4 linked regions of the Anolis sagrei genome follow. The protein of the gene in region 1 interacts with the protein of each later gene in a biochemical or structural test. Links are inferred from orthologs where the notes say so. Each region holds a gene or a part of one and is shown on either strand. Other genes may lie near its edges. The genes, in order: HSPB1, MAPKAPK5, MAPKAPK3 and CS.

Evidence for each region.
Region 2: of the proteins of HSPB1 (region 1) and MAPKAPK5, one has a biochemical effect on the other in vitro, tested with the Homo sapiens proteins (4 studies listed by BioGRID and IntAct). The link is inferred for Anolis sagrei from reciprocal best matches to the Homo sapiens genes HSPB1 and MAPKAPK5.
Region 3: of the proteins of HSPB1 (region 1) and MAPKAPK3, one has a biochemical effect on the other in vitro, tested with the Homo sapiens proteins (2 studies listed by BioGRID and IntAct). The link is inferred for Anolis sagrei from reciprocal best matches to the Homo sapiens genes HSPB1 and MAPKAPK3.
Region 4: the proteins of HSPB1 (region 1) and CS form a complex in vitro, tested with the Homo sapiens proteins (2 studies listed by BioGRID). The link is inferred for Anolis sagrei from reciprocal best matches to the Homo sapiens genes HSPB1 and CS.

Annotation. Positions count from the first base shown.
Region 1 is NC_090031.1:32,940,600-32,947,846, reverse strand, and holds the start of HSPB1 (heat shock protein beta-1), read left to right. Parts: upstream 1-4,241; 5' UTR 4,242-4,266; coding exon 4,267-4,654; intron 4,655-6,649; coding exon 6,650-6,713; intron 6,714-7,247. UniProt on the Homo sapiens protein: Small heat shock protein which functions as a molecular chaperone probably maintaining denatured proteins in a folding-competent state. Plays a role in stress resistance and actin organization.
Region 2 is NC_090034.1:30,717,433-30,724,841, reverse strand, and holds the start of MAPKAPK5 (MAP kinase-activated protein kinase 5), read left to right. Parts: upstream 1-4,389; 5' UTR 4,390-4,821; coding exon 4,822-4,857; intron 4,858-7,409. UniProt on the Homo sapiens protein: Tumor suppressor serine/threonine-protein kinase involved in mTORC1 signaling and post-transcriptional regulation. Phosphorylates FOXO3, ERK3/MAPK6, ERK4/MAPK4, HSP27/HSPB1, p53/TP53 and RHEB.
Region 3 is NC_090022.1:71,480,684-71,488,380, forward strand, and holds the start of MAPKAPK3 (MAP kinase-activated protein kinase 3), read right to left. Parts: upstream 3,006-7,697; 5' UTR 2,792-3,005; exon of another isoform or gene 2,784-2,791; intron 1-2,783. UniProt on the Homo sapiens protein: Stress-activated serine/threonine-protein kinase involved in cytokines production, endocytosis, cell migration, chromatin remodeling and transcriptional regulation.
Region 4 is NC_090022.1:138,358,015-138,365,969, forward strand, and holds the start of CS (citrate synthase, mitochondrial), read left to right. Parts: upstream 1-4,950; 5' UTR 4,951-5,161; coding exon 5,162-5,215; intron 5,216-7,955. UniProt on the Homo sapiens protein: Key enzyme of the Krebs tricarboxylic acid cycle which catalyzes the synthesis of citrate from acetyl coenzyme A and oxaloacetate.

The sequences.
Region 1 (7,247 bases):
AAAGCCGTACAGTCTCAAGTGACTTTGGAGAACTTTGTGGGATTCGGGGAAAGCTTTCACCAGTCGGGTGAGAAGATCCGAAGCAACGTTGGATGCCCAAAAGCGTCCTGTTCCTGCAAGGCTTCAAAACGAGCCACGAGTGGGATGTAGCAGCTTGAAAGGCTGCATCTGTCGGGGTCTAGTGTCCAAATGGAGGAAAGTAATATAGCCATGGCTTGAGATATATGACTGAAGACGAGCCAAGATTGGGATGCAGCAGCTCAGAAGGTCCATGCAATTCCAGGCTGCATCCATCGGAGTCTAAATGGAGGAAAGTAATATTGTCAAAGGCTTTCATGGCCAGAATCACTGGTTTGTTGTGTGTTTTCAGGGCTGTATGGCCTAGTTCCAGAAGAATTCTCTCCTGATGTTTCACCTGCATCTGTGACAGGCATCCTCAGAGGTTGTGAGGTCCTCACAACCTCTGAGGATGCCTGCCATAGATGAGCCATAGACCTCACAAGATGCAGGAGAAACATCAGGAGAGAATGCTTCTGGAACATGGCCATGCAGCCCAGAAAACACACAACAAACCAATATAGCTATAGCTTGACGATAATAATATACCTAGCGAAAAGGGCCAATGCAATTCTAGGCTGCATCAGTAAGGATTGAGTGTCCAGATACTCTGTAGACGAGGATACAGTGGAGCCATTGATTCGAATGGCACCGGAATATGAGGACAAATGGAGCCATGGATTTGAATGGCACCGGAATATGAGGACAGTCTCAATTCTTGGAGGTTTTTAAGCAGAGGCTGGATGGCCATCTGTCCGGAGGGATCAAACGGTGTCGTTTGTGGTAGAAGGGGGTTGGACTGGATGGCCTTTGGGGGCCTCTCCCATCAGGGACATTTCTTTCAGTCTTCCGAGCATTTGTTTATTCGTCGCCGTCTCTGCAAATGATAGCCAGTCGGAACAACAACAACGTTCTCTCTCTCTCTATCTATCTATCTCTCCTTCTTTTATTTCTCTCTCCTTTCTTCCGGCCGCGACTTCAGTTGTAGATTCCCATGAGCTGATTCAATTATAATAAAATATACAAGATCGATCGATTGTAATGGGATCTTTGTCGGGGCCGTGTCCTCTGTTTTTGGTGAGACACTCTGTCACTACGTTTGAAAACAGGGCGGTTGGATCGAATGTCCCATGACTGACAGGTCGGAAAGTACACATAGCTACAAAGGATAGACTGGATGGCCTTTGGGGTCCCTTCTAATCCATCTCAGTCTTGCTTTTTTGAAGGAAAATTAGAGTCCCGGCCAAGAATGTTCCCGCAGAGCCTGGACCTTCAGAAGGATGATGACCTCAGAGAAGAGGCAGCCGGTCCCTTTGGCGGACAGTGACTCACGGCCGGAGCAAGAGAGATCCCGCTCTCCGCTTCCCAAAAACACCAAGGATAGTCCCTCTGGTGCCCCGCTCTCTCCTCCTCTTTCCCCTCGCTCGGTCTGTGCCACGTTCTGCTTGGCACCTCCCAAAAGGTCTTTCAATCCTTGGAGGTGAACTGGTCTGCTCTGGACTGACATTTGGGCGAGCTCATGGGAGTCTCTTAGGCTGTCCTTCAACAGAGGTTGGGGGGGCATCTTTCGGGAGTGCTTTAAGTATAGGGCAGAATGGGGCTGGACTGGATGATCCTCAGGGAACCCTTCCAGCTCCATAATTCTATGCAATGGTCCCAACAATGGGTGGGATTTGGTGGTCTCTTCCTGCCTGGCGGAATGGGGCTGGACTAGATAACCCTCGGGGGTCCCTTCCATTTCTGTAATTCTCTGCAATGGTCCCAACAATGGGAGAGATTTGGTGGTCTCTTCTCATTTGTATACAATAGTCCCACGATGGCCATCTTTCAGGAATGATTTAGGTGTAGAGCATAATGAGACTGGACTAGATGACTCCCGGGGGTCCCTTCCAGCTCTGTAATTCTCTGCAATAGTTCCAACAATGGGAGGGATTTGGTGGTCTCTTCTTGCCCGGCAGAATAGGGGTGGACTGGATGACCCTCAGGGAACCCTTCCAGCTTTGTAATTCTATGCAATGGTCCCAGCAATGGGAGAGATTTGGTGGTCTCATTTGTATACAATGGTCCCACGATGGCCATCTTTCAGGGGTGCTTTAGGTGTAGAGTATAATGAGACTGGACTAGATGACTCCCGGGGGTCCCTTCCAGCTCTGGAATTCTCTGCAATAGTTCCAACAATGGGAGGGATTTGGTGGTCTCTTCCTGCCTGGCGGAATGGGGCTGGACTGGATGACCCTCGAGGGTCCCTTCCAGCTCTGGAATTCTATGCAATGGTTCCAACAGTGGGAGGGATCTGGTGGTCTCTTCTTCTTCGGCAGAATGAGGCTGGATTGGATGACCCTCAGGGGTCCCCTCCAGGTCTGTAATCCTATGCAGTGGTCCCACAGTGGCCATCTTTTGGGAGGGCTTTAGTGGTCTCTTCACATTGTATGCAATGGTCCCATAATGACCATATTTCAAGAGTACTTAGAGCATAATGGGGCTGGACTGGATGACCCTTGGGGTCCCTTCCAGATCTGTAATTCTATGCAATTGTCCCCACAATGGCCATCTTTGGGAATGAGGTGGGACTAGATGACCCTTGGGGATCCCTTCCAGATATGTAATTCTATGCAATGGTTCCAACAATGGGAGGGATTTGGTGGTCTCTTCCTGCCTGGCTGAATGGGGCTGGACTACATGCCCCTCGAGGGTCCCTTCCAGCTTTGGAATCCTATGCAATAGTCCAACAGTGGCCATCTTTTGGTCTCTTCTCATTGTATGCAATGGTCCCAACGCCAAGAGTGCTTTAGGTGTAGAGCATAATGGGGCTGGACTGGATGACCCTTGGGGGTCCCTTCCAAATATGTAATTCTATGCAATGGTCTCCACAATGGCCATCTTTGGGAGTGCTTTAGGTGTAGGCATTTTGAGGCTGGACTAGATGACCCTCAGGGGTTCCCTCCAGCTCTATAATTCTATGCAACGGTCCCAACAATTGGTGGGATTTGGTGGTCTCTTCCTGCCTAGCGGAATGGGGCTGGACTACATGACCCTCAAGGGTCCCTTCCAGCTCTGGAATCCCATGCAATGGTCCAATGGTGGTCATCTTTTGGAAGGCTTTAGTGGTCTCTTCTCATTGTATGCAATGATCCCACAATGACCATCCTTCGGGAGTACTTTAGGTGTAGAGCTGAATGGGGCTGGACTGGATGACCCTTGGGGGCCCCTTCCAGAGATGTAATTCTATGCAATGGTCCCACAATGGACATCTTTCGGGAGTGCTTTAGTTGTAGGGCTGAAACAGGCTGGGCTAGATGACCCTCAGGGTCCCTTCAGCTCTGTAATGCTATGCACAGTGGCCATCGTTTGGGAGTGCTTTCGTGGTCTCTTCTCATTGTATGCAATGGTCCCACAATGGCCATCTTTTGAGAGTGCTTTAGGTGTAGAGCTGAATCGGGCTGGACTGGATGACCCTTGGGAGTCCCTTCCAGCTCTGGAATTCTATGCAATGGTCCCAACAATGGCCATCTTTTGGGAAGGATTTGGTGGTCTCCTCTCATTGTATGCAGTGGCTGCACAATGGCCATCTTTTGGGAAGGATTTGGTGGTCTCCTCTCATTGTATGCAGTGGCTGCACATTGGCCATCTTTTGGGAAGGATTTGGTGGTCTCTTCTCATTGTATGCAGTGGCTGCACAATGGCCATCTTTTGGGAAGGATTTGGTGGTCTCTTCCCATTGTATGCAGTGGTTGCACATTGGCCATCTTTTGGGAAGGCTTTAGTGGTCTCTTCTCATTGTATGCAATGGTCGTCTTTTAGGGGAGCATAATGGGGGTGGACTGGATGACCCTTGGGGGACCCTTCCAGCTCTGTAATTCTAAGCAATGGTCCCAACAATGGCCATCTTTTGGGAAGGATTTGGTGGTCTCTTCCCATTGTATGCAATGATCCCACAACGTCCATCTTTTCAGAGCGCTTTGTTGTATGCAATGGTCCTGCAATGTCCATCTTTTCAGGATGGGGCTGGACTAGATGGCCCTCGGGGTCCCCGTTCCCGCTCCGTATGCCAGGGCCCGTCCCGCAGTCCAAAAAAGGCCTTTCCCTCCCGCTCCATTCCTGGGAGCGCCATTTCCATTAATAGACAAGGAGACATTCTTCTCCCAAAATAGCCCTTTGCCTCTGGATGAGAAGGGCCAGCTGGCCCGGCCGGACAAAGGAGCGTTGGCCATGTCGGAGCGCCAGGTGCCCTTCACCTTCCTCCGCAGCCCCAGCTGGGAGCCCTTCCGGGACTGGTACCGAGGCGGCCGCCTCTTCGACCAGGCCTTCGGGATGCCCATGGTCCCCGATGACTGGTATAGGTGGCCCGCCGGCAGCAGCAGCGGATGGCCGGGCTACGTCCGCCCCATGATCCAGAGCCCCGAGCCGGCCACTCCGGCCAGCGCTGGCCCTCCGGGGGCCCATCCGGCCTACAGCCGGGCCCTCAGCCGGCAGCTCAGCAGCGGCGTCTCCGAGATCCGGCAGACCCCCGAAGGGTGGAAGGTGGCCCTCGACGTCAACCACTTCGCCCCTGAGGAGCTCCTGGTCAAGACCAAGGACGGCGTGGTGGAGATCACCGGTAAGGATGGAAGGAAAGGGGCCCAGGAGGGCATCCAGCCCCACCCTCGGCCAAGGCAGTGATTGAATAGGGGGCTGGTGGGTCAGGGAGTCCTAGAGTTAGAAGGGGAGCCAAGGGCCCCCCAGTCCAACCTTCTGTATGTATGTATATGTGCCGATCTTCCCATCCATCCATCTTAGAATCCTGAAGTTGGAAGGGACTTCAAGGGTCATCCAGTCCAACTACCTGTATGTGTATATCTTCCCATCTATCTATCTTCCCATGTATCTATCACCCTATCTACCTACCCACCCATCCCTCTATCCCTCTATCCCTCTATCCCTCTATCCCTCTATCTATCTATCTATCTATCTATCTATCTATCTCTATCTATCCATCCATCCATTCATCCATCCATCCATCCATCCATCCATCCATCCATCCATCCATCCATCGCTCTATCTATCTATTGGTCTATCTATTGATCCATTGATCCATTGATCCATCAATACATCAATCCATCCACCATCTATCTATCTATCTATCTATCTATCTCTATCTATCCATCCATCCATTCATCCATCCATCCATCCATCCATCCATCCATCGCTCTATCTATCTATTGGTCTATCTATTGATCCATTGATCCATTGATCCATCAATACATCAATCCATCCACCATCTATCTATCTATCTATCTATCTATCTATCTATCTATCTATCTATCAATCAATCAAAGAATCCTAGTTGGAAGGAACCCCAAGGGCCATCCAGTCCAACTTTGTATGTGTATGTTTGTATCTTCGCATGTATCTATCATCCTATCTATCTACTTATCTATCTACCTACCCACTGACCCACCCAACCACTTTATCTATCCCTCTGTCTATCCCTCTATCCATCCATCCATTCATCCATCTATCTAGCCATCCATCCATCCATCCATCCATCCACCTACCTACGTACCCACTGACCCACCTGCCACTTATCTATTTATCTGTCTATCCATCCACCCATCCATCATAAAATCGTGACGTTGGAAGAGACTCCAAGGGCCATCCAGTCCAACCTTCTGCATCTAGATATCTTTCTATCCATCCACCTAGCTACTAACCTATCTATCCAACCCTCTGTATGTACGTATACATCTATCTATCTATCTATCTATCTAGCCATCCATCTATCATAGAATCCAACTAGAGTCCAACTACTTGTATGTGTATATCTTCCCATCTATCTTCTTATGTATCTATCATCCTATCTACCTACTCACCCATCCCTCTATCTATCTGTCTGTCTATCCCTCCATCCATCCATCTATCTATCTATCTGTCTGTCTGTCTGTCTGTCCGTCTATCCATCTATCCATCCATCCATTCATCTATCTGTTTATCCCTCTATCTGTCTATCTGTCCGTCCATCCGTCCATCCATCCATCCATCCCTCTGTCTATCTATCTATCTATCTATCTATCTATCTATCTATGTCTATTTATCTATCTATGAGAGAGGCAAACTGACACATACATACATACAGGGAATTGGATGGGATGGCCCTTAGGGTCTCTTCCAATGCTGGGATGGATGGATGGATGGATGGATGGATAGATAGATAGATAGATAGATAGATAGATAGATAGATAGGGTAGTCTTTGGGGTCTTTTCAAACATTAGGTTTTGATTGATTGATTGATAAATTATGTTTAATAGTAATACTAGTATAGATTTATTTGCATCCTGTTTTTACTATGTTTTATATTATTTTATTTTGTAGTATTATAAATTATTGTTACTTTACATTATAATTGCTTTATACGATTGCGATTGCATTAATACAGTCACAATATAACAACAATAAACTAAAGCAACAATAATATAAAAATATATAATAATATAATGTTATATTATAAAATAATATATATTAAAATAATATGTAATAAGCCAATAATAAAATGTAAGAATAGGTCTGTGTCCAAATGTGGGGTTTGTTTACGTTCTCTCCTTCCGTCTCTTTCAGGAAAACACGAAGAACGACAAGATGAGCATGGATTTATTTCCAGGTGTTTCACCAGGAAATACACGTAAGTTGCTGGGCGGGTTTCTGGTCAGTTCCTTCCCAATGGAGGGACCCGTTTCCTTTGATCCTTTTACCTGGGGAGTTGAAACAACAACAGGTCCCATCATCCCCAGACAGTGCAGAAGGAGGCCCATCCTGAGCCCTGCAATGCCTTAATGGCATGTCTCTTTGCTGCCATCCAGTGGCCAACTCGGGAATTGCACCCTTTTAGTGCAGCCTAGCAGTAGAGGGCTCCTGCTGAGTCCACTTTGTCGCCATCCTGTGGCCAGATGGAAAATGGCACCTTTTGTTATATTTTCTCCAAATAGGGAAATAGGGAGGAAACTCAGTTCTTGTGGGTTTTTTCGGGCTATATGGCCATGTTCTAGAGGCATTTCTCCTGACGTTTCGCCTGCATCTATGGCAAGCATCCTCAACTGCTGTGCTCTCCCTCCCTCTTGGTCTTTCCTTCCTTCTTCTGTCCCTCCCCTCTCCTTCTTCCATCCCTTCCTTCCTTCTTTTCCTCTGTCCATCGTTCCTTCCTCTCTTACTTCCCTTC
Region 2 (7,409 bases), on another chromosome or scaffold:
CAACACTGGCCAACACATCTTTTGGTACCTTCAATGTTAGCCCTGTTATCTGTGACAATTGCTTGCACCAGTTTCCCCCCATCAGTTCTAGTTTTTGAGGGACAGAATATGTGTCATCTAGCAGTCTTCATGTTTGTCCTTAGAAAACCATGGTAACTAAGAAACTAGAGCCGATGTCATTTTCTGAATCAGGGCCCCAAAGAACCCTGGGACTAGGCCTGAAAACCAAGACACCAAGAATTTTGTGTTGTTATGTAGTTGAAATAGCATCATTAATGTATAACAGGGGTATCTTGGTCTGCTTTAGGTTGCTTTAGTAACCAGTCAGGCAAAGCTAAAAAGTTATACATCACAAACCAACGCTGCTTTTGGAGAAATGTGAGCTTTTTAACAAAAAAAGGGTTTGTTTGGAATAGGTAATGAGCAAAAAATGACATTACTCCACAGGCGTAACACCTAACCTGGGATACTTGAACAGGTGCTTGCCACTCTATACCGGTTTGCAGTCACTCATTTCATGCAACATGTCCCTCAAAAGCACATAGACCCAAAACATCTTTCTTGTTTTGGAAACTCTTTCCAAAAAAAGTATGCATTCTTAGCAGGATTAAAGATTCCAGAGAAGGGTGACAAGAGAAACATTTCTGTCAGGTTTTCCCCCTCTGTGCTTCCACACACGAGACAGAACATTTTCATTTAAGGGGGAATTTGTAACTCTGATTCAACCGTAATTGTATTTCTTCTGCAACATATTCCCCCAGTCTTCAAATGAGGGACATAAGTATTAGCAGTATGTCTTTTTGGCATACAGAGGATTCAAATTACAGGAGATTCCACCTGAACATTAGGAAGAACTTCCTAACTGTAAGAGCTATTCAGCAGTGGAACTCTCTGCCTCGGAGTCTGCTGGAAGCTCCTTTCTTGGAAACTTTTAAACAGAGGCTGGATGGCCATCTGACAGGGATACTTTGATTGTGCTTGTCCTGCATGGCAGAGGGTTGGACTAGATGGATAATGTGGTCTCTTCCAGCTCTTTACGGACTGCCTTTGGTGGACACAGGGAAAGGTTTTGGCAAATATACCAACTAAGTCTGCTGCAGTCGGCAGAGCTTGGCACAGTCTGGGAGCAAGTTGTAAAAAGAAAGAGATTGTTCTCCCTCAAGCAAGTATCACAATGAAAGACCGAGAGGGACTTCTACACAGATCCACAGAGGCAAAGCAGGCGGCCTGCATTTTGTCTTCCACCTCACATCCATTTCTGAAGAAAAAGGCTTATTTGATGTACCATATTTGGGTCTGATGTGCCATCGAATCTAACTCACAGCTCAATTTTCAAAACCCTGAAACCAAAAAAAGTATTGGCTGGTGAATGTAATGTCATTAGTTGATGCCTGCTTAGAATTTCTTCTTTAAAAAGAAATGTATTAGAAGACCAAAGCTTCCAGCGATGGAAAAGAAAACCTTGGGGTGCACCTATGCTATAGAACAGGCATCCTCAAACTGTGGCCCTCCAGCTGTTTGGGCCTTCAACTCCCAGAATTCCTGACAACTGAACAAGATCGTTAGGACTTCTGGGAGTTGGAGGCCCAAACAGCCGGAGGGCCACAGTTTGAGGATGCCTGATATAGAATGAATCCACTTTAATTGCCTTGCTTCAATGCTATGGAATCTACAAGGCTTTGAGCTTTCTCTGCTAAAGAACACTGATGCCTGACCACAGCATTCACCCATGGCCATTAAATAAGAGATGACGTCCCTCAAAGAGCTCCAGAAGCACTTTCCCTTTCTGTGTTGCTGTGCATTTTTCAGGCTGTATGGCCATGTTCCAGTAGCACTTTCATGATGTTTTGCCTGCATTTGTGCCTGGCATCTTCAGAGGTTTGTTCAAAGGTCTGTGGGAATGAAGCAAGTGGGGTGTATATATGTGTGTGTACTGTCCAGGGTCGGGGAAAGAACCCTTCTCTGTTTGAAGCAAGTGTGAATGCTGCAGTTGGCAAGCTTGATTAGCATTGAGTAGCCTTACAGCTGCAAAGTCAATCAGTGTTGTTGCCTGGAGGCATCCTTTGTTTGGGAAGTGTTGGCTGGCACTTGATTGTTTGCTTTCTGGAGTTCCCCTGTTTTCTAAGTGGCGTTCTTTATTTACTGTCTTAATTCTGGTATTTTTAAATACTGGCAACCAGATTTTGTACATTTTCATGGTCTCCTCCTTTTTGTTGAAATTGTCCACATGCTTGTGGATTTCAAAGGCTTCTCTGTGTAGCCTGACATAATGGTTGTCTGAGCGGTTCCAAATTTCTGTGTTAGCAAATAATATTCTGTTCGTTCATCAATTGCTTTGCTATAGCTGAGTTCTCTTCAGTAGAACTATTAGCTTGCATGGGAGAAAATGGGATTTGGAACTCTGTGTCTATCATAGAATAATAGAGTTGGAAGAGACCACATGGGCCAACCCCGTTCTATGCAGGAAAAGCACATTCAAAGCATCCCTGACAGATGGTCATCCAGCCTCTGTTTAAAAGTTTCCAAGGAAGAAGTTTCCACCGGACTCCGAGGCAGAGTTCCACTGTTGAAAAGCTCGTATGGTCAGGAAGTTCTAATAGTTCTAATAGTCAGGTGGAATCGCCTTTCCTGTTGTTTGAAGCCATTGCTCAGAGTCCTAGTTTCAAGAGCAGCAGAAAGCAGGCCTGATACCTCTTCCTTATGACCTTTCACATATTTATACTTGGCTCTCATGTCTTCTCTCAAACCTCTCTTCTGCAAGCTAAACAGACCTGGTTCTTCAAGACACTCCTCATAGGGATTATTCATGGTCTCCAGACCTTTGATCCTTTTAGTTGCCCTCTTCCTCTGGATGCCTTCTAGCTTAGGGTCAATATACCTTTTGAACCGTGGTGCCCACAATTGGACACAGTATTCCAGGGAAAGAGATCTAACCAAAGCAGAATACAAGGACACCATGACTTCCCTCGATCTAGGCAATAGATTCCATTCTGCTTTCTACAATATTAGTATTATATAGTGCTATATTGTATGATACCACTATGTTGTTGTTTATTCGTTCAGTTGCTTCCGATTCTTTGTGACCTCATGGACCAGAGCTCCCTGTCGGCCATCACCACCCCCAGCTCCTTCAGAGTCAAGCCAGTCACTTCAAGGATACCATCCATCCATCTTGTCCTTGGGTGGCTCCTCTTCCTTTTTCCTTCCATTTTCCACAGAATCATTGTCTTCTCTAAGCTTTCCTGTCTTCTCATGGTGTGGCCAAAGTACTTCATCTTTATCACTAATATCCTTCCCTCCAATGAGCAGTTGGGCTTTATTTCCTGAAGTATGGAAATAAAGTCCATACTGGTTGGATCTTCTCGTGGTCCAAGGCACTCTCAGAACTTTCCTCCAACATCTCAGTTCAAAAGCATCTATCTTCCTTTGCTTAGACTTCCTTATGGTCCAGCTCTCACATCCATAGGTTACTATCGGAAATATCATTGCTTTAATTATGCTTTAACTACCACTATATTGCAACATTATTAGTAATATTAAAGATAAAGGTTTCCCTTGATATTAAGTCGTCGTGTTTGACTCGAGGGGGTGGTGCTCATCTCTCTTTCTAGGCCAAAGAGCCAGCATTGTCCCATAGACACCTCCTATGTCATGAGGCCAGCATGACTGCATGGAGTGCCATTATCTTCCCGCAGAAGCAGTACTTATTGATCTACTCACATTTGCATGTTTTCAAACTGCTAGGTTGGCAGAAGCTGGGGCTGACAGCGGGAGCTCACCCTGCTCCCCAAATTAGTAATATTACATGTAATATATTATATGATTATTATATATTATATTGTACTATATTATTATACCACAATATATAATACACTACCACTCTTATTATACTATTAGTACAATATATTGTACTATATCAGAAGTTGTAATACATATAATGTATTAAAACATTATTAATATTATATATAATACAGGAGTATTCTTACATTACAATGTTATTAAAGTTGGTTTTATAGGTTATTGTTGTATGTATTGTTGATTCGTATGGTTTTAAAATATTGTGAGCTGCTTTGGGCCCCGCTCTGGGCGAAAAGCGGGAGACAAATAAAATTATATGATGATGATGATGATGTCTATATATTAGTAGATTGTCTATCTTTCGGGCCACGTCTCCTCCACCTCGTCTCCCGGCGTCGAATGTCCGCTCCCCTTCTGCCACGACAGGCGCTTCACGGCGTTCTCCTCAGAAAGAAGGCGGGCTCCCGATCTCGCGAGATTTCCAAAGGGAGGGGAGAGAATAAAATAAAGAATCTCCCTCCAAGCAAAAGAGGCGGGGCGTAGTCGGGAAAGCCCCGCCTCCTTCTCCCCTTCCTCCACGCCCCGCCCCGCCCCTTTCGTCCTCCCCTCAGATAACCCTTCTCGGCCGCCGCGTGACGCCCTCAAGGAAGCGACGCGCGGACAGGAAGGACCCGAAGGAAAGGGGAGGGAGATTAGGGAGGGGGCCTGGCACTGCGGGCGTCGCGCGGCGAAAGGGGCGTCTACTTCAGTCGCCTGCCTTTTGGGGGACTTCATTCTTCTTTGCTGCGCCGGTGATGCTCCTCGGGCGGGAGGAGAGTTCGGCCGGGAAAGGCGAGGCGGAGGAGGGAGCAGGAGCCCGGCGGGGATGAGGCCTCGGCAGCCCCAAGGAGGCGGGGGCCAGGGCCGAGGAGGAGGCGGAGGAGGAGGAGGAGGAGGAGGGAGAGGGAACAGCGGCGAGGACCACAGCCACCTCGGAAGGCGGCCCCGGCCTCGCCCGGCCTGAAGCAGCCCAGGAGGAAGAGGATGTCGGAGGAGCCCGAGGCGGAGAGGATGATTAAGGTGAGCAAGCTCCCTAGCAAGAGCGCCTCTGAGCATACCAAGGCCAGCCTTCGCCACGCCCCCTCCCCTCGGGTGTGGAGTTGGGCAAAGTCTGCCATTGGGGGGTCCTCGATCACCAGGAGACCCCAAGGGCCATCCAGCCCAACCCCTTCTGCCACAAAGGAGGACACCATCCAAGCCCCCTTGGCAGATAGCCAGACAGCCTCTGCTTCATCATAATAATGATAATAATCCTAGCAGCATAGAATCCTATATCTGGAGGAGACCCCAAGGGCCATCCAGCCCAACCCCCTCTGCCACAAAGGAGGACACCATCCAAGCCCCCTTGGCAGATAGCCAGACAGCCTCTGCTTCATCATAATAATGATAATAATCCTAGCAGCATAGAATCCTATATCTGGCGGAGTCCCCAAGGGCCATCCAACCCAACCCCTTCTGCCACAAAGGAGGGCACCACCTAAGCCCCCTTGGCAGATAGCCAAGCAGCCTCTGCTTCATCATAATAATGATAACAATCCTAGCAGCATAGAATCCTATAGCTGGTGGGACCCCTAGAGCCATCCAGCCCAACCCTTTCTGCCACAAAGGAGGGCACCATCCAAGCTCCCCCAGCAGACAACCAGACAGCCTCTGCTTCACCATAATAATGATAATAATAATAATCCTACCAACATAAATCCTATATCTGGGGGAGACTCCAAAGGCCATCCAGCTGAACTCCCACAAAGGACCGCACCATCCAAGTCCTCCCCCCTCCGGCAGACAACCAGACAGCCTCTGCTTCATCATAATAATGATAATAATAATCACTTTATTTCTGTATCCCCCCTCCATCTCCCAGAAGGGACTCGGATGGCTTACATGGAGACAATCCCAATCAACATAGTTAAAGTATAAGACATTAAAATACATAAAACAACCTCATAAAATAATATAAAACAAACAACAACAACCAATGGCCTGAGTAATAAACCGTTTCAGGGATAATAATGATAATCATAATCATAGCAGCATAGAAACCTATATCTGGAGGAGACCCCAAGGGCCATCCAGCCCAACCCCTTCTGCCACAAAGGAGGGCATCATCCACACCCTCCTGACAGACAGCCATACAGCCTCTGCTCAAAACCCCCCAGAGAAAGAGACCCCCATTATCATCCGCAAACGTTGTTATTGTTATTATAGAATTCTAGTTGGAATTCCAGGGGCCATCCAGTGCAACCCCTCTTCGGCCAGGCAGGAAGACACAATCAGAGCCTTCCCAACATATGACCCTTCAGCCTTTGCTAAAATCAAACTCTCCGTAGGTTAAAATCACAGACCCCTTCATCATCATTACTAAAAAAGATGATGAGAACAGAATTCTAGAGTTGGAAGGGACTCCCACAAGGCCACTTGGTCGAGCCCCCTTCTGCCAGACAGGGCACAATCAAAACCCTCCCAACAGAGGGCCATGCAACCTCTGTTGAAAAGCCTCTAGAGACTATGGCTGGATCTCCACTGCCATATAATCCAGTTCAATCAGATAATCTGGATTTTATATGGCAGTGTAAATGGGGTCTACAAGGCAATCCATTCCACTGTTGAACAGCTCTGAGGTTCAGGTGGGATCTCCTTTGCTGTCATTTGAACCCATGGCTCTGTTGAGTCCTGGTCTCCAGAGCAGCAAAAAAAGGGAAGGGACCTCGGAATCCTCAGGAGGTGCCTGTGCTGTGGGATGGGTGCTGTTTGACCCCGCATGAACTGCCCTGGCTCAAGGCTATGGGTGCCTTTGGTGGGGCAGAGAATGCCAGAGACCTTGCCCCTCCTATGATTCCATAGCGTTGAGCCTTGGCAGTTCAAGCGGGGTCAGACCTCATCCATTCCACAGTGTAGATTCATTTCAGCCACATTCGGATGGTGGCCACTTTCCCCCTCTTGAACTAGATACAAAACAGAGGCCAGCTTGGGCAAGACTAGCAGCTTTCTCGATGGCTTGTGGTCCTAAAAATCGTGTTTGGTAGCTCCAAAGGCAACCTTGTTGGAAGGCATCCTGCAGCTAAGCTGAAGCAGCCTCGCCTCGCTGTGGGCCTGTTGCAGCTTGATTTCTAACTGACTTGGCATTTGCAGGCCAAAGCTCCTTAAACCCGTGCCAAAGAGCAAAATGTTTGTGCTCAACAAAACACCCCAAAGTTGTAATATTAGTACTGCCAATCATGGTGAAGCCTCTGAACTCTACAAAAGGGTTCCAGACTCACTTTAAGACTCACTGTCTCCTCTTGGAGATGCTTCCTGGGTTCAAGTTCCAAGCCAAAATGTAAAGCAGGAATACCCCCACCTTTATGTCATTTTGATTTATGGCGGCTCCATCAACAGGTTTTCTTGGCAAGGGAGCTTGTACTTGGCATCCTCTGTGGCTAAAAGAGTGAGTGGCCCAAGGGTTTCCGCAACTGGGCTTTGAACCCCAATCTTGTATAGACCCAGCCCTCAAATGATTACTCCACTGGCCCCTGTATTAAGATGCAAACAGAACTGAGTCGTTTGGACAATAAGCAGCCATCTTGCATATCCTT
Region 3 (7,697 bases), on another chromosome or scaffold:
AGCTGAATCCATAACTGTGTCTGGCATCTTGTTACATGTTCCGATATGCTACTGCTGACAGTTATCTTGAGTGCCAACTATGTACTGCTGCCATTACTTGTATATTCAACTGCACAGGGAATGCTTCAGTACCTTTACTGATCATACTTGATTCAATACAGATAAGCAGTGATCACGATGGACAACTGAACAGAAGCATCAGTTCCATACCAGTAGAATCAATTTAAGATCACAGGCCTAAAATCAGTTGCCATCTCAATGAGAATTTGGACTTCTGCAAAAATCCCATTGATGAATTTACTCTAATAGGGCCTGTTTATTGTTCATTCATTCAGTCGTTTCCGACTCTTTGTGACTTCATGGACCAAACTAATAGGGCCTAGGAATTGCATTTAATCCCAAAGAAACATGTTTTCTTAGAAAAGTTTCCTGTTTACAGTATTGCTACATGGTTCGTGGAGATGTGGCTTCAGAGCACTACACAAACTGAAAAAATGGGTTGAGGGCGGACAGGGAATATCTAATTCAGTGGTTCCCAACCTGTGGTCTGTGGACCACCAGTGGTCTGCAAGAACTAAAATATGGCCTGTAGCCTCACAGTTACTACAACACTGCAATGAGAGTGACTGGTCTCGTGAAACCCTCTTATAGTGCCGAGGTTTATTAAATATGGTTTTTTGTGGGCGAGCAGATGGCAACAACTGGATGGCATATGTTCTGTATCAGAAACTAGAGATGATGTGGTCTATCCAATGCAATTATCTGTATCAAACCAAACCAAATCTAAAGTTGACCAAAAACTGATTCATAACCTTTTGGTACTAATGCTGGAGAGCATCCCTGTTCAAAGTGGTCCCTAGTAAAAAAAAAAAAAAAAAAAAGGTTGGAAACCACTGATCTAATTACAATGAATGTCAGGAAAAAAATTCCTCAGTGGACGTTTGACCTCTATCTTCCATTTTAATTGGACTATATGTGGTTTGTTGTAAAAGATATGGCAAAGCTTGTGATTGTCAGAGTTTGCTGTGAGGTACACCAAAAGATAATGATGCTGGGGGAAATGGAAGGAAAAGGGAAGAGGGGCCAACCATGGGCAAGATGGATGGATATTATTCTTGAAGTGACTGGCTTGACTTTGAAGGAGCTGGGGGTGGTCATGGCCGACAAAGATCTCTGGTGTGGGCTGGCCCATGAGGTCACAAAGAGTCAGAAGCAACTGAATGGATAAACAACAACAACACACCAAAAGGGTCTTGCAAGCACGTAGCGATCCCCCTCTCCCCAACATGTACATCTGCCAGGTAGTGACAGGGCCCTGAAGTTGGAGGACATGAGACTTTTATGGCCATAATGACTCTCTTGGTGGAGATGAACCAGTACCAACATAGTGAAATATGCTTTAAAGACAAAACTCATTGTTAATGATCTAGGCAGGCAAAACAAGTGGCATGTTTGGTAAATTGCTTACTTCCTCCATAATGTACATAATTTGACAAGAGGTGTTGTCTTTAATTACACCTGCCCCGTCTGTGTCTCTTCTTTGTTTGGGGAGAGAAATGAGGATTGAGCTCTTTAAATTTTAGATGTGGGGATGGTGTAGGGGACAAAAAGCTCTGAACCAGATTTCTAAAGCTGTCCTTCAGCCTGCCTGTCTTGGCCAACACAAAACCTAGGAGACCTCTTCCATGCTTAGCTTCCATTGTCAGGTTCATAAGCTTCCATTGTCAGGTTCACATGGCTATGGGACCAAGCATTCAACCAGTAAATAGTGCAATAAGGATAACGGACTAATGAAACTGACAGTTGGTCAGGTCTTGAACTACGATCTGGATTATGTGATTTTAATCGATGCTTTAATAATTACTGTTTAATTGTATGGTTTTAATTGTATTTATTTTTCTATTTATTTGTATTGGCATTGCATCAATACCTGCTGTAAGGCTCCCCTGAGTCCCCTTCTAGGGTGAGAAGGGTGGGATACAAATATGTGAGATAAATAAATAAAATACAATTATGGGGCACTTTTGCTCTCTTTTGAGTTTTGAGTCTCTTTTTCCCAGGCAGGGGCAAACTTCGGCCCTCTGAGTGTTTTGGACTTCAACTCCCGAATTGTGGGAGTTGAAGTCCAAACACCCGGAGGGCCAAAGTTTGACCATGCCTGCTTTAGCCACTTTGAGTCTCATTGAGAAGAAGAAAACTGAAATATAAATATAATCAACACCATCATCACCATCTTGGACCAGTGATTCCCAACCTTTTCTTCCTCTAGATCAGGCATGGGCAAACGTTGGCCCTCCGGGTGTTTTGGACTTCAACTCCCAAAATTCTTAACAGCCAGTAGGCTGTTAGAAATTGTGAGAGTTGAAGTCCAAAACACCTGGAGGGCCAAAGTTTGCCCATGCCTGTTCTAGGTGTATTGGGCTTGGGCTCCCAGAATTCCCTACAGTGGGCCACATTGCCTGGGAGTTGAACGCCCAAAGGCTGGGGAGAATTCTGTGGAGGGAGGAGTGGCCCCTTGTTCTGGTTGGCAAAGAAAGCTCCATTGGCAGGAATAGGCGCTCCTTCAAGGAAGGGAACCATACCAGGGTCTGAAGGAAAAGCAAGCCAGTCTCTCCCACACGCCGGAGGCCCGGGGAGCCACTGGGTTTGTATGTGGGGCAGGGAAGGGCACCCTCGGGAACAGCTCCTGTGTGTGTGTGTTGAAGGGAGAACGCGCGGGTGGCTGGGTGGCCGTGTGTGCGGGGAGCCACTGCGCCGGCGACGCTTCGGGAAGGGCTGGTTACCTGCCTGCCTGCCTGCCTGCCTGGGGCGCATGCTCCTCCTGCTGCTGCTGCTGCTCACAGGTGGTCGCTGTGTTGCCGTGGCCTCCCTCAGTCCAGGGTCAAGCAAGGGAGGGGGCGGCGGCGGCGGCCATCAGAAGCCTCTCTCCTCCGCCAGGCAGCCGGCTCTTCGCGAACCGCCGAGGACAGGCTCCATCATGTGACTCCCCGCCCCGGACGGCCCAACCCCGGGCCAGGCAGAGGCGGGAGGGGGAGGGGCATGAGGGGGAGGGAGGGAGAGAGCATGAGGGAGGGAGGGAGCCCGGGCTCCGCAGGGACACCTGGCCGCCAAGGCGGAGGAGGCCGAGCCTCGCCTGCACTCCAAAGCTGGCTTCCAAGCTGCGGCGCCGGGAGGCAAACTCCCCAAAAGCGCGCGAAAAGAGACAGTCCTTAATCGGGGGGCTTGTGTAGTAATCACCATTCGGGGCCCAAACTGGATCATCCTCATCCTCATCCGCACAGCGAAACCCTGTTTGCCATGCCACAGTTTCAAACGGACTTCCCTAGCCAGTGTAGATGGGCACTGGCCTCACCTGCACTGCCATATAACGCACTACAGACCTACCTAATGCCGTTCAGTGCACCGTATGGAGGTATCGATGGGCCTCGTTTACCTAAGGCAGGAAGGAGGCACCTACGGGAAAGGAGATTCCACCTGAACATTAGGAAGAACTTCCTAACTGTGAGAGCTGTTCAGCAGTGGAACTCTCTGCCCCGAAGTGTGGTGGAGGCTCCTTCTATGGAGGCTTTTAAGCAGGGGCGGGATGGCCATCTGTTAGGGGTACTTTGAACGCGATTTTCCTGCTTCTTGGCAGGGGGTTGGACTGGACGGCCCACGAGGTCTCTTCCAACTCTATGATTCTGTGTCCTGAGCAGGGCTCGCAACCCCTTGAGCAGACATCCTCAAACTGCGGCCCTCCAGCTCCCAGAAGCCCTAGCCAGTCTGTTCAGTCGTCAGGAATTCTGGGAGTTGAAGGCCCAAACAGCTGGAGGGCTGCAGTTTGAGGGTGGCTGCCCTTTAGGGTTTTGGAGGGGGGTCGAAAGAAAAAAATATACCGGATCCACAACACGAGCCTATTCTCACCTACAATAACAGAGAACTAAAATGTGGCGCCAGCTCATCAACCCGTCTGGCGGGGAGAAGCCCTTGAAGAGAAGGGCACGGGTCTCTTTCTGGGAAGTTCCCTAAACCGTTCCGACAGAGGAGCACCTGCTTGGGGGCTCCCCTCTGAGTCCCCGCCTCCCCCTTTCCTTTCCTCGGAGGAACCAAGCGGCGGGGCCTCCCTTCACCTGCGCGGCTGCGCGCTCGCCCTCCTTTGTCTCCCTGAGGGCGGGGCCGGAGCCCTCGGGGGACAAAGGAGGGCGAGCGCGCGGCCGCGGAGGTGAACGGAGGCCCCGCCGCTTGGTTCCTCCGAGGCGAAGCTGACTCGCCTCCGCTCTGTCTGCCTTTCTCCTTGGGAGAGAGACGGTGCCAGGGCAGCCCCTGCTGGTGGGCCGAAGGAGGACGCGGCGGCGGCGGCGGCGGCACGAAAGGGGCAAGCTGGACCGGCCTTTCGGGTCGCCAGGCTGCGGGCGAGGGCGGCCTCTTCGCCTTCATGGCGCCCTCCTCTTCCTTCCCACAAGAGGAGGAGAAGGTCGGTCCAGCACGGCCCGCGTTGCCGCCCTTCTCCAGAGCTTGACGTCACGAGCCTGGCGCTTTTGCAACGCCCAGAGGCACCTTTCGTTTCCCCCCAAATGAAAGCCTTCAAACGATGCTGGGATGCTGCGTCCAGGACAACAAACCGTGCTCGATCCCAGAGTATTTTACTCCCTGTTGGTGTTTGATAAGCATAACAACAACACTATGAAACACGGTTTTTGTTCTTGAGTTATAAATGGTCGTTTCCTAATTGGTTCTGTCATAAAAACACGGGGAATGTTTATTAAACTGCAAAAATCTTTTGCTATCGTTTTGCAATGAGTATCTCATAGAGCAGTGGTTCCCAGCCTTGTTTTGACCAGGGACCACTTTGATCAAGGACCACTTTGACCAGGGACTACTTTGACCAAGGACTACTTGGCCAGGGACCACTTGGACCAGGGACCACTTTGACCAGGGACCACTTTGACCAGGGACCACTTGGACCAGGGACCACTTTGACTGGGGGCCACTTTGACCAGGGACCACTTTGACCAGGGACCACTTTGACTGGGGGCCACTTGACCAGGGACCACTTTGAGCAAGGACCACTTGACCAGGGAGCACTTTCACCCAGGACCACTTGACCAGGGATCACTTTGACCGGGGACCACTTGACCAGGGACCACTTTCACCAAGGACCACTTGACCGGGGACCACTTGACCAGAAACCACTTTCACCAAGGACCACTTGACCAGGGACCACTTGGACCAGGGACCACTTGACCAGGAACTGCTCTCCAACATTAGTACCAAAAGGGTTACGAATCTGTTTTTGGTCAACTTTAGATTTGGTTTGGTTATTTGGGGAGCTGAATCAGAAAACTACATTGGATAGACCACATCAGCTCTAATTTCTGATACAGAACATACGCCAACAGTCACCATCTGCTCACTTACAGAAAAACATATTTAATAACCTAGAGCCATGGACCTTATTTTAGGTCTCACGACTCACAGGTTGGGAACCAATGAGTCTCAACATAGTTTTTGGCAGAAGTTTCTGGAGTATAACAACTACTTTCTAAGTAAGTCCTGCGCAATTGAACAGGAGATAATGCTTTCAAAACAACACTTTTTTTCAAATTTTGTTACATAGTGTAATAATAAATAATAAGATCCTACTTGGATCTGCACACATTATTTATTTATTTATATATTTATTTACAGCATTTGTAGTCCGCCTTTCTCAGCCTTGCGGCGACTCAAGGCAGCTCACAGAATTAGCACATTTAATGCCATATATTCATAAAAATCCATTAAAAATATACAACACAACATTATAAAAAGCATATATAAACCATTTAAAAACATATGATCACCAATGTTGTCCTGTTAAAATCATTGTCCAGCAGCATAGTCTAGCCATTCCATGTTCATTCTTCTTATTTCAAAATTACTTATTCGCCGAAACATCACATAGTCCTAGTCACTTGGTCGAATACAAAAGCCAGCATAGTGATCTTGTTTGCTGTGTACTAATCTTGTTGTATATCTAATAATAATAATAATAATAATACTTTTATTTGCTATTTGCTCTCAAGACTGGAGGTGTGGTGCAGCAAAATCAAAATACATAGCTAAACCATAAGGCCATGGAAATATCTAGATTATGAGACAGATTTAATGACAGACATTCAAATCATATATATCAATAAAATCATGTATATCAATAAATGCAAATGTAACCGATCTATTGATAGCCATTTCAATTCCAAGTGATTCCAGAGGTCAGTTCTGAAGATCAGATGGAAGTGCTTGTTGTTTTTGCTAGGAAAGACAATCTATCCGAGAAATACAACACAGGCAAAAACACATTTTGGTGCCTCAACTATCAGCCTTGTTTCTGGGTCTATTTGACCTGCTGATTTTTAAAAAATGGCACCAGGGATTTTTAAAAACTGGCACCAGTTTCCCCCTATCAGCACTATTTTTGAGAAACAGAACATATGCCATGTACCAGTCTTCATCTGCTCATAGAAAATCATGATAACCATATCTTAAAAAAACTAGTGGTGTTGCAGTTTATTAAATGCAATTTTCTGAATCACATCCCTAAATAACCCCAGGATCAGACGTGAAAATCAAGACACCAAGAAGCTTTTGTTGTTGTTGGGCTATGCAATCAATTTCATTTGTTACTCAGGTCTCTTCATGGCTGGAGGCGGGATGCATTGCAGTCAAAACACATTGATAAAACAAGGTATTAAAATACTTATATTAAAAGACAGAGAGATTTGATGATATGCATTACAATCATTGTTTATATCAATTAAATGTAAAGGTAATTGATCCCTTGATAGCTGTTTCAATCCTGGGTGATTCTGGAGTGAATTTCTGATGGAGGCTATGTTTGCTTTGTGGTTTGTTTGGTTTTTTACTGAGAAATACAGACTCTATCCCAGAAATATAATCTAACAATCTTTGCTAACTCTCCCTGCACCTCCCACCCAGCATTATAGAAGAAGAATGGAGTTATAAGGAATTTCACCTGGGGCATTGCAGAGAGATCAGTTTGGAATCCAGTAGCTGAAGCTTTTAGGAAATTACTTGAAAAACTGAGGATGAGGGTTAAAAATAGTGACAAAGAACAAATGTCAGCAATATGTACATACATATATATACACACACACACACCCTGCATACATGTAACTGACCACTGGACAAATGAACGTATGCTACTTAGATAGCTAAGGAACTTGCAGGTTTGAAGTAATTAATTCCACTGTGTAAATCAATTGATCCAGCCAGTAATTCATCTTAAAAGCTGCTATTACAAAATATCCAGGGAGGATTTTCCATAACTCAAAAGTTAATGTTGATACGGTCAATGGACTAATCAATAAACCTTGCTTATGCATAACTCAAAAGGTGGAGACCACTTTCAGCCCCGTGGGTGTAATTCAATTTTAGAGAAATTATGATGTATTGCTACTAAACGGCCCCAGCCCAAATTACCTGTCTGAACGCATCTCTCCCTTTGAACCATCGCGGAGATTAAGATCCTCCAGGAAGGCCCTGCGTTCTGTCCTACCATTGTCACAGGCATGATTGGTGGGGATGAGAGACAGGGTCTTCTTGGTGATTGCTCCCCAGCTATGGAACTCCTTTCTTGGTGAGATCAGGTCAGCCCCCTCTCTCCTGTTCTTTAGAAGGATGGTAAAAATTTGGCTTTTGGGACCAAGCTTTCGGGACAGGGC
Region 4 (7,955 bases), on another chromosome or scaffold:
AGGCTTAATGGATGGGTTTATTCGTTCTTTGAAGACCACCTCCCCTTTTCCAGCTCCTTTAAGTCTGTTCCAAAAACCTCCTTTCCATTTTGGGATGTGCTCGCTACATTCGGTCTGGAAACCCAACGACTGGACAGGCAAAAGAAAACATGAGCAAAGCTTCTTTGTAGACTTTCTTTAGGAAAACAAAAGATGCTGTGTCCCCACTTGACTTTTTGTAAAAGTCTGCAATTATAAAACCTCTCATTTGGAACAGAAGAAACTTCCATTTCAGGACTGCGGTTCATTTTTTTCTACTGCATTGACAATGATTCTGTGACACGTATGTTTTTTTTAAAAAATGCTATTGTCGTTCTGCAGATGAATTAATCTGTATGTTGAGTCTGGAACTAGCCACACAATACATGGATTCCCTCCAAAGTTCACTAAAACTTGAATTATTGAATATTATTAGTTCTACTATTATTCTGCTACTATTTAATCATGACACTAGGCAGGTGATTTCATTTCTCTATGTAACCTCTTGCATAGGAAGAGTATAATAGAAGAAGGCCCCCACGTATTCATTCCAAACAAGGAGCTGCTGTAAAGAAGATCAATCAATGGCATAAGAGTGAAAAGGTTGACTAGCCATGTGGAGGCCCAAAAAGTTGTTGTCCAGTAACTATTTGACATTGTTGGAGCAATAGATAGATTGCGTTACTTCTTGGATATGTTGTGTGGAAAGTCTTCATACAATATTGCAGTGGCCTTCAGGAATTGTTCACTGTGATATGGGAACCTCATATGAACCAGCTAGGCTAGATTGCAAGCCAGTCTGAAACTGTTTTGTTGGGTTCCTTTTGAATCAATGGGCTGACCTTTGGGGAAGTCCAATGTCCATCTTATAGAATTCAAGAAGGTGCTGGTTTGAAGCATCAAGCATTTGGAAAATTAGGGAAAGGTGGGTCAGATTATATTCTTCAAAGGGCTTTTAAAACATTTGATATCTTTTCCTCTTATTTTCAGAATTTTGGATTAAAAGTCTGTCAGTGATGGCAAGAAAATAAATCATGGTGTGATTCACCTGGAGTTGTAAAAATTATTAAGATAATGGATGGGGTGCATTTTGGATACTCAAAATGCAATACATAAATGCAGCATATTACCATGTAACGAGAGAGGTTTTCAAGTACCTTGCAGAGCTGGATTTTCTTACTGCTTTCTTCCATTATGGGCGTGGTGGTGTTTAGATTCAGAAAACATGTATCTTTGAGTGTAGAAGGGCCTGATTGATCCATAGCTGGGAGCCTTAGGACTTAAAATGTTTGGAGGCAGAAAAACAAATGTGGTTAAATTCCCTTTTCTCACCTATTTATCATTAAGTGCCTGGTACAGCCTGGCACTCTCTGCTTCCTCCACCTTATTTTCCCTTCTCCTAAGCCTTGGATTACAACTCTTGCTACCTAAGCATGTTATGCCTTACTATTTTGCTCATGGAATAGTGTAACATATCTGGTTTCTTTTTAATGTAGGTTGTGAAGGAAGATTAGAACAAATCATGATTGCAAATTACTTATTAATAAGAAACCTAAGCACAACATTTAATACATTTGTATAACTACTGTGTTGCTACAAGCATCCCTCCTCTTCTGAATATGCTCATTTCCTTAACAATAATTGAAACAGTGTTCTTTTAAATGTTAGCTCTCAAAATGCTTCAGGACTGCTGCTTTTGGAGTAAATAAGAAAGCTAATGGAAAAAGCCGATAGTGAATGGATGGTAGGGCAGGTTTGGTAGCAAGAAAAAGTGATTTTTTTTGGGCATATTCCTAAAAGTGACCTATTGAGACACAATTGGAAGACTCATAAAATAAAAATCTGAAGAAAGGTGGAGGAGATCCTATATTGTGGGGATAATTCATTGCTGTAGAAGACTAAATTGCTCTTTAAAAGTTTCCAAAATCTTTGGAAACTTCCATTGGTTCAGAATGCACCAGTCAGGATACTGTTTTGTGTTAAATATTCTACTCATGTGATCTCACTATTGTTTCAGCAGCTTCGGAGTCACATGTCTACTCCTGAGCCCAATTCAAAATGCTGGTCTGGATGTAAGGCTATAAATAGCCAAGGACCAGGATAACCTGAGGGCAGCTTCTTTCCATGTTCAGGAATTTCACCTCTACTCTCAGAATCACACTTGATGTGCATTGAAGCTGTGGATAACATACCTTGGAAGAAAAATAAACTTTCAGGGTAAGATTGATTAACTGCAACCTTCCAGATGTTTGCATTGCAACTTCATAACTTCTTCACTTTCGGATATGCTGACAGGGATGAGAACTGAATTAAATTATAGCTGCCACTTTGTTAGAGAAGTAAAATATTACTTTTGAAGTAGTTATTTGCTTTCTCTTTAAGACTGAAGCTGAAATGGGATGACTACCCCTCCCACCCCACTCCACCAAGTATAGAAAGTGTATAAAAACAAAAACACTTGTCTTCCATACAGAAAAAAAAAACGTGTTTCTATAACTGCCTCAAATGAGACAAAGAGTGAATGAAAATGCCATTTGGACAAGGAATGCTGCTAGAGTGACCTGGTTCTGGTTCAGGTTGAGGACTCTGTACTCTTGTCACACATTCGCGGCATGAGGGCCATCGGGACACAGACTACCAGCAGGATATGTGTTTGAGGATTGGCAGGGAATGCCGCATGGGAAGGCACCGGCCCAAATGGCAGAAGACAGAGTTCAATAGTGTGACACTGCCTGTCCAGCTCATAGAATATTGTTCATTGTTTAGTAAATTTTGTGTTGTCACTCTTATTGACATTTTTATTTCTGCTATGCCGAGCAAGGGGTGGGGGTGGGGAGGATCCAGCATTATGTCAACATTAACATAGTGCCCTCAGTGCTGTTCCAAGCTAGAGCAGTGCTAATAGGTATGTTTTGTATTCCCTTTTATAAAGTAGCCCAGTCTCAAGACTTTTGCTGCCATGAGGAAAGAAAGAATGTAATGTCCACTTGAAGTAGAGCAGAATGGAGGGGCCCATTTTCTTACTTCAGAACTGACAATGGGATTATATTCTTCAGAGAGCTACATACCTACAGGATTCGGGGCAGGTTGCATGCCATACACAGCTCTTGAGTGTTTCGGGTGTTTTGCATGAAATGATTAACCTGCAGGCTAAGCAAGGGGCAGTTCCAGCAGCTTTGTATGAAGTGGAGCTAACTTTCTGTGTACCTTCTGTGCGACATTGCAGATATGCCAGGGCATTATTGTACTCTTCCTTTCCAGTAATACCTCCACAGCCCTTCTCCACTACTAAAACAATTTGCTGAGCTATCACTCCTACTAGAGTAGGCTTCCCTGTAATCACTCATTTCAGTGTGGTAAATGGGTCAAAGGATTGCTAGAACAATTCTGTGGGATGCAGCATATTGATGTGACTAATAGTACAAAACATACCTCTGAGACTGTTCAAGTCTGAGCATTTTAAAGTCTTGTTTCTCCATGCAACATACAAAATCACAGTGAATGTACACTAGTAATACAGAGGAAAGTATTACTAGCGTATATACTGGCATTGATCAGGTGTTGGAGGGGTGGCTGCTATCCTGCTTTCTCCTTTGTCCTTTCTCTCGCCTGATACCTTTTCCCTTTCCTTTCAATTTCTTCCCTTTTTCTTCCCCTTCTTCTTTCCTGTATTTTTCTTTCTTTCCTTCTATTCCTTTTCTCTCTCCTTTCTCCAGCCTGCCTCACAATGTCTCCATTGTAACATGGCTCTTTCTTTCCTTCCTTCATTCCCCTCAAAAACTCCCATCTTTCTATCCCAATGACATCAGAGGGCCACTTCACCTAGCAACCGCTTTTGTGTGACAAACAGACAAGACAAAGTGTTATTCAAGGCTTTAATGGCTGGAATCACTGGGTTGCTGTGAGTTCACCCACATCTATGGCAGGCATTCTCAGAGGTTGTGAGATCTGTTGGAAACTACACAAGTGGGGTGTATATATTTGTGGAATGTCTAGGGTGTGACTCGTGTCTGCTTGAAGTAAGTGTGAATGTTGCAATTGGCCATCTTGATTCGCACTGAATGGCCCTGCAGCTTCAAAGCCAGGCTGCTTCCTGCCTGGGGGAATCCTTTGTTGGAAGGTGTTAGCTGGCCCTGATTCCAGACAAGAAACAATCAACTAACACTTCCCAACAAAGGATTCCCCAGGCAGCAACAGATCAGGCTTTGGAGCTGCAAGGCCATTCAATACTACTCCAGGTAGCCAATTGCAACATTCACACCTGCCTCAAGCAGGCAAGATTTCTTTCTTCCACATATATATAAACCCCATTTGCCTTGTTTCCAACAGACCCCCCCCCCTCAACCTCCATAAATGTGGGCGAAACGTCAGGGCAGAATGCTTCTGGAACATAGCCATACAGCTCGGAAAACTCACAGAAACCCAAATATACGTTGACTTTTCTATATACAAATTCACAGAGATGTTTTTCAGGCACTTAGACCCGAAATCCTATTTCTGAATTCTAAAGAGGTTTCATTCAACTCAGTTATTTACTTGGGAACAGGACTGGACCACAAGGATTCCCCAAGGGCTTTTATTTGGAAGGATAGCGTTTCACTATTAGTCCTGAGCTAACAACTCTACACATTTTAGTCATCATAAGCTTTAACAATACTAGAATTGCTATTAAAAGAGGAGGAAAAAAGCCTTCTCGGAGTGTCACTCCCAGAATCCAGCGATGGCATGTGGGCGACCCTTGGAGTGAAGCGGGGCTTTCAGGCACCTGAATTAGACGCCTAACTCCCCCCCCCCCCGCGCGCCTTTAGGGACCCCGCCCTTCCAGTTCCCGCCTGGCCCCGCCCCTCGCGCCACCGCGCCCAATGGCGTGGCCCCTCTTCCGTCAGGGGAAGGGGCGGGGCTATTCAGATGAACCCGAGCGGCTCTGGGAGTGATTGGGGCCTTGGAGGCGCGCTCCGCCTCGCGCTGCCGACGCTGCGAGGAGTGTATCCGGCGCCGTCTGCTCTGTTCTCCCCCTCCCCCTCCTGCTCTGTTCAACCTTGGTCTTCGCAGCCTGCTTCCTTCCTCCCTCTTTCCTTCCTTCCTTCCCCCTCTCTCTTGAGGCGGCCGCTGGACTCTCCTTCCGCGCCAGTCGCCGCTCGCCATGACCTTGTTGACTGCAAGCAGTAGGGCGGCCGCGCGCCTCTTGGGAGCCAAGGTGAGGGTGCCCCACCTTTCCCCCAATATTGGTCTTTTCCTTGTCCGCCCCCCCTCGATTTCCTTTCTTAGAAGAGAATGGAACAGGCCGCTCTTAAAGGGGCCGCGCCCATTAGAGGGTTTCGGCTCATGTTATCTTAAAGGGGTGGGCGCCTCAAGTGGGTTTTTATGGGAGCCTGATAGTGTGGCGGAGTTTATTATTATGTTCATTTATTTATTATTATTAAGGTTGTGCCTTGCATAGGATTGTGTAGCTTTGGGCGCAGCTTCTCATTTGGCAGGAGGAGCTCTATGCAGTGGTTGGGCCGAGCCAGGCGGGTACATGTGTATTGTACGTGTGAACACGGCCTTGTCCTTGGGCCGGGCCTGTCTTGTGCCTCCTATTTTTCTTCTTCTAGAATCGTTTCAATTGCCTTTTCTAATCCTCCTCTGCCTGTTCTTTCCCAAGTAAAATTCTGCGGAAAGAGGAACAGTTGCAAAGGGTGTATCTATACTGCAGAATTAACGCAGTTTGAGATCACCTTGGGCCCTTTCAAACAGGCCCTATATCCCACGATCTGATCTCAGGTTTTCTGTATAGCCCAGTGGGTATTCATATAATCCAGTTTAATGCAGAAAACCTGGGATCAGATTCTAGGATATATATAGGGCAGTGGTTCTCAACCTGTGGGTCCCCAGATGTTTTGGCCTTCAACTCCCAGAAATCCTAACAGCTGGTCAACTGGCTGGGACTTCTGGGAGTTGTAGGCCGAAACATCTGGGGGCACACAGATTGAGAACCACTGATGTAGGGCCTGTTTGTCAGGGCCCAAGTAAATCTCAAACTGCATTAATTCCCTTAGGAACTTAATAAAATCCCACATTGTCTGTTTTGAACTGGAATATATGGCAGTGTGGATTCAGATAACCCAGTTCAAAGCAGATATTGTGGGGTTTTCTGCCTTCATATTTAGGGTTATATGGCTGTGTTATAGGGCCCCTTGACTGTCATGGCTCAAGAATGTAGAATCCTGGGAATTATAGTTTGTTAAGGCCCCACCACTCTTTGACAAGGAAGGCTAAAAACTTTGTAAACCGTGGCAGTTAAAGTAGTGCCAATCTGCATTAATTTTACAATGTAGATGCAGCCTAAGTTTTTTTTAATGCTGAAAGGAGGGGTTGGGAGCTGGGGCAATAGTCAAACTTCAGAAGCGAGGGTGTGTGCTGCTCTGCCACCCAGTGCAACCAGGACCCTGTTTTGTGGTGTTTTAGGAAGTTTGGGGTTCCTGTGGTAGCTAGGCCTTAGCAGGGCCACACTGACCTTTTTTCCTTTTGACCTCTAAATGGGAAGGCCCTGTCTTTCTCTGGGAGGGTCAGTTTACATATAATATAGAGACAAGTTTGGTATTTAGGGAAAGGTGCATCCTGGGTATCTGGTTCCTTTTTTTAGCCTCTGATTGAATCAGCTAAACTCTTGCCTTAGTGGAAACAGTCGGTGGGACATTGTATGCCCCTTTGCTTCCCTTTTGTTTTCCTTTCCAGTCCCTTCTCTTACTACCCAGCCTGGTGTCTTGAGGAAGCGGTATGGTGCCTTCGTAGTAGGGTGCTATAGTAGGATGACCTGTCTTTCCTTGCTACAGAGCTGGGAAGAGGCTTTGGCTGCATCTACATTGTAGAAATAATGCAGATTGACACTATGTTCACTACCATGACTGAGTTCTGTGGAATCATAGGAGTTGTAGTTTCGCGAGAGACCACAACTCTTTGGAGGAGAAGATAAAGGACTTAGTAAAACTACAACTCCAGTGGTTCTATAACATTGAACAGTGGAAGTAAAAGTGCTGTCAAACTGCATTGATTTGACAGTGTAATAATAATAATAATTTATTTTTAACCCACCCTCTCTCTCCAAAGGGACTCAGGACAGCTTCCAAACATAAAACTGGCAAATATTCAATGCCATCAAATCAACATTAATACGTTTATACCTACAGTTAAAACAAAATAAAATACGTTGTCTGATAATATGAATCGATGAGTCAAACATCGTGAACAAACAATCAGGCAGTTAAAACTGTATACGATATGAATATATAGCTCTACAATAAAATACACCCATTGTTCAGCCTGTGCTGCTTGCTCCATAGTTTGGAGTGGGAATGGAGTATTCCATCACATTAGGCTTGTTACTATGTGTGTCAGGAGGAACTTGAAAAACGGCAAGTTGCTTCTGCTGGAAGTGGTCATAAAAATATCTCGAGACACAAAATCTGTGCAAATCAATTGCTCTTGACTGGCCTGTATCCCAGGGCGATGACACACTGTGGGGTAAAGTGGGCCTCCAAGGATGTTGCCGTGTTGTCTGACTTGCTTGTAAAATAGCTTCTGCTTCCTTATTGTTCTTGTTCTCGTAACTGCAGACTGGCAGTATCGAAATTGGGGAATGTGTCAGAGACATTTAACTCCACCCACCCCATACCCTGCAGCAAGTAGCAGCAGTAGTGGGAAGCATGTTCACTAAAATGGAGATTCTCCTGTTTCCGTTTAGGCCCTTGTGCTTTGTGAATGGCTCTCTGTCTGCCTCCTGCTGATTATTCAGCAGCCACTTTGCTGCTATCTTGCTGGGAAATCTGCCCATGACCTCTCCATAGGGCAAAGGGCCTCATGACAATTTTATTTGGACTCCAGACCCATGAAAGTTCCTTAACATATCGATTGCAAATGCCGGGTACCAAAAGCGTTTATTTCTAGCTTATTTGCTT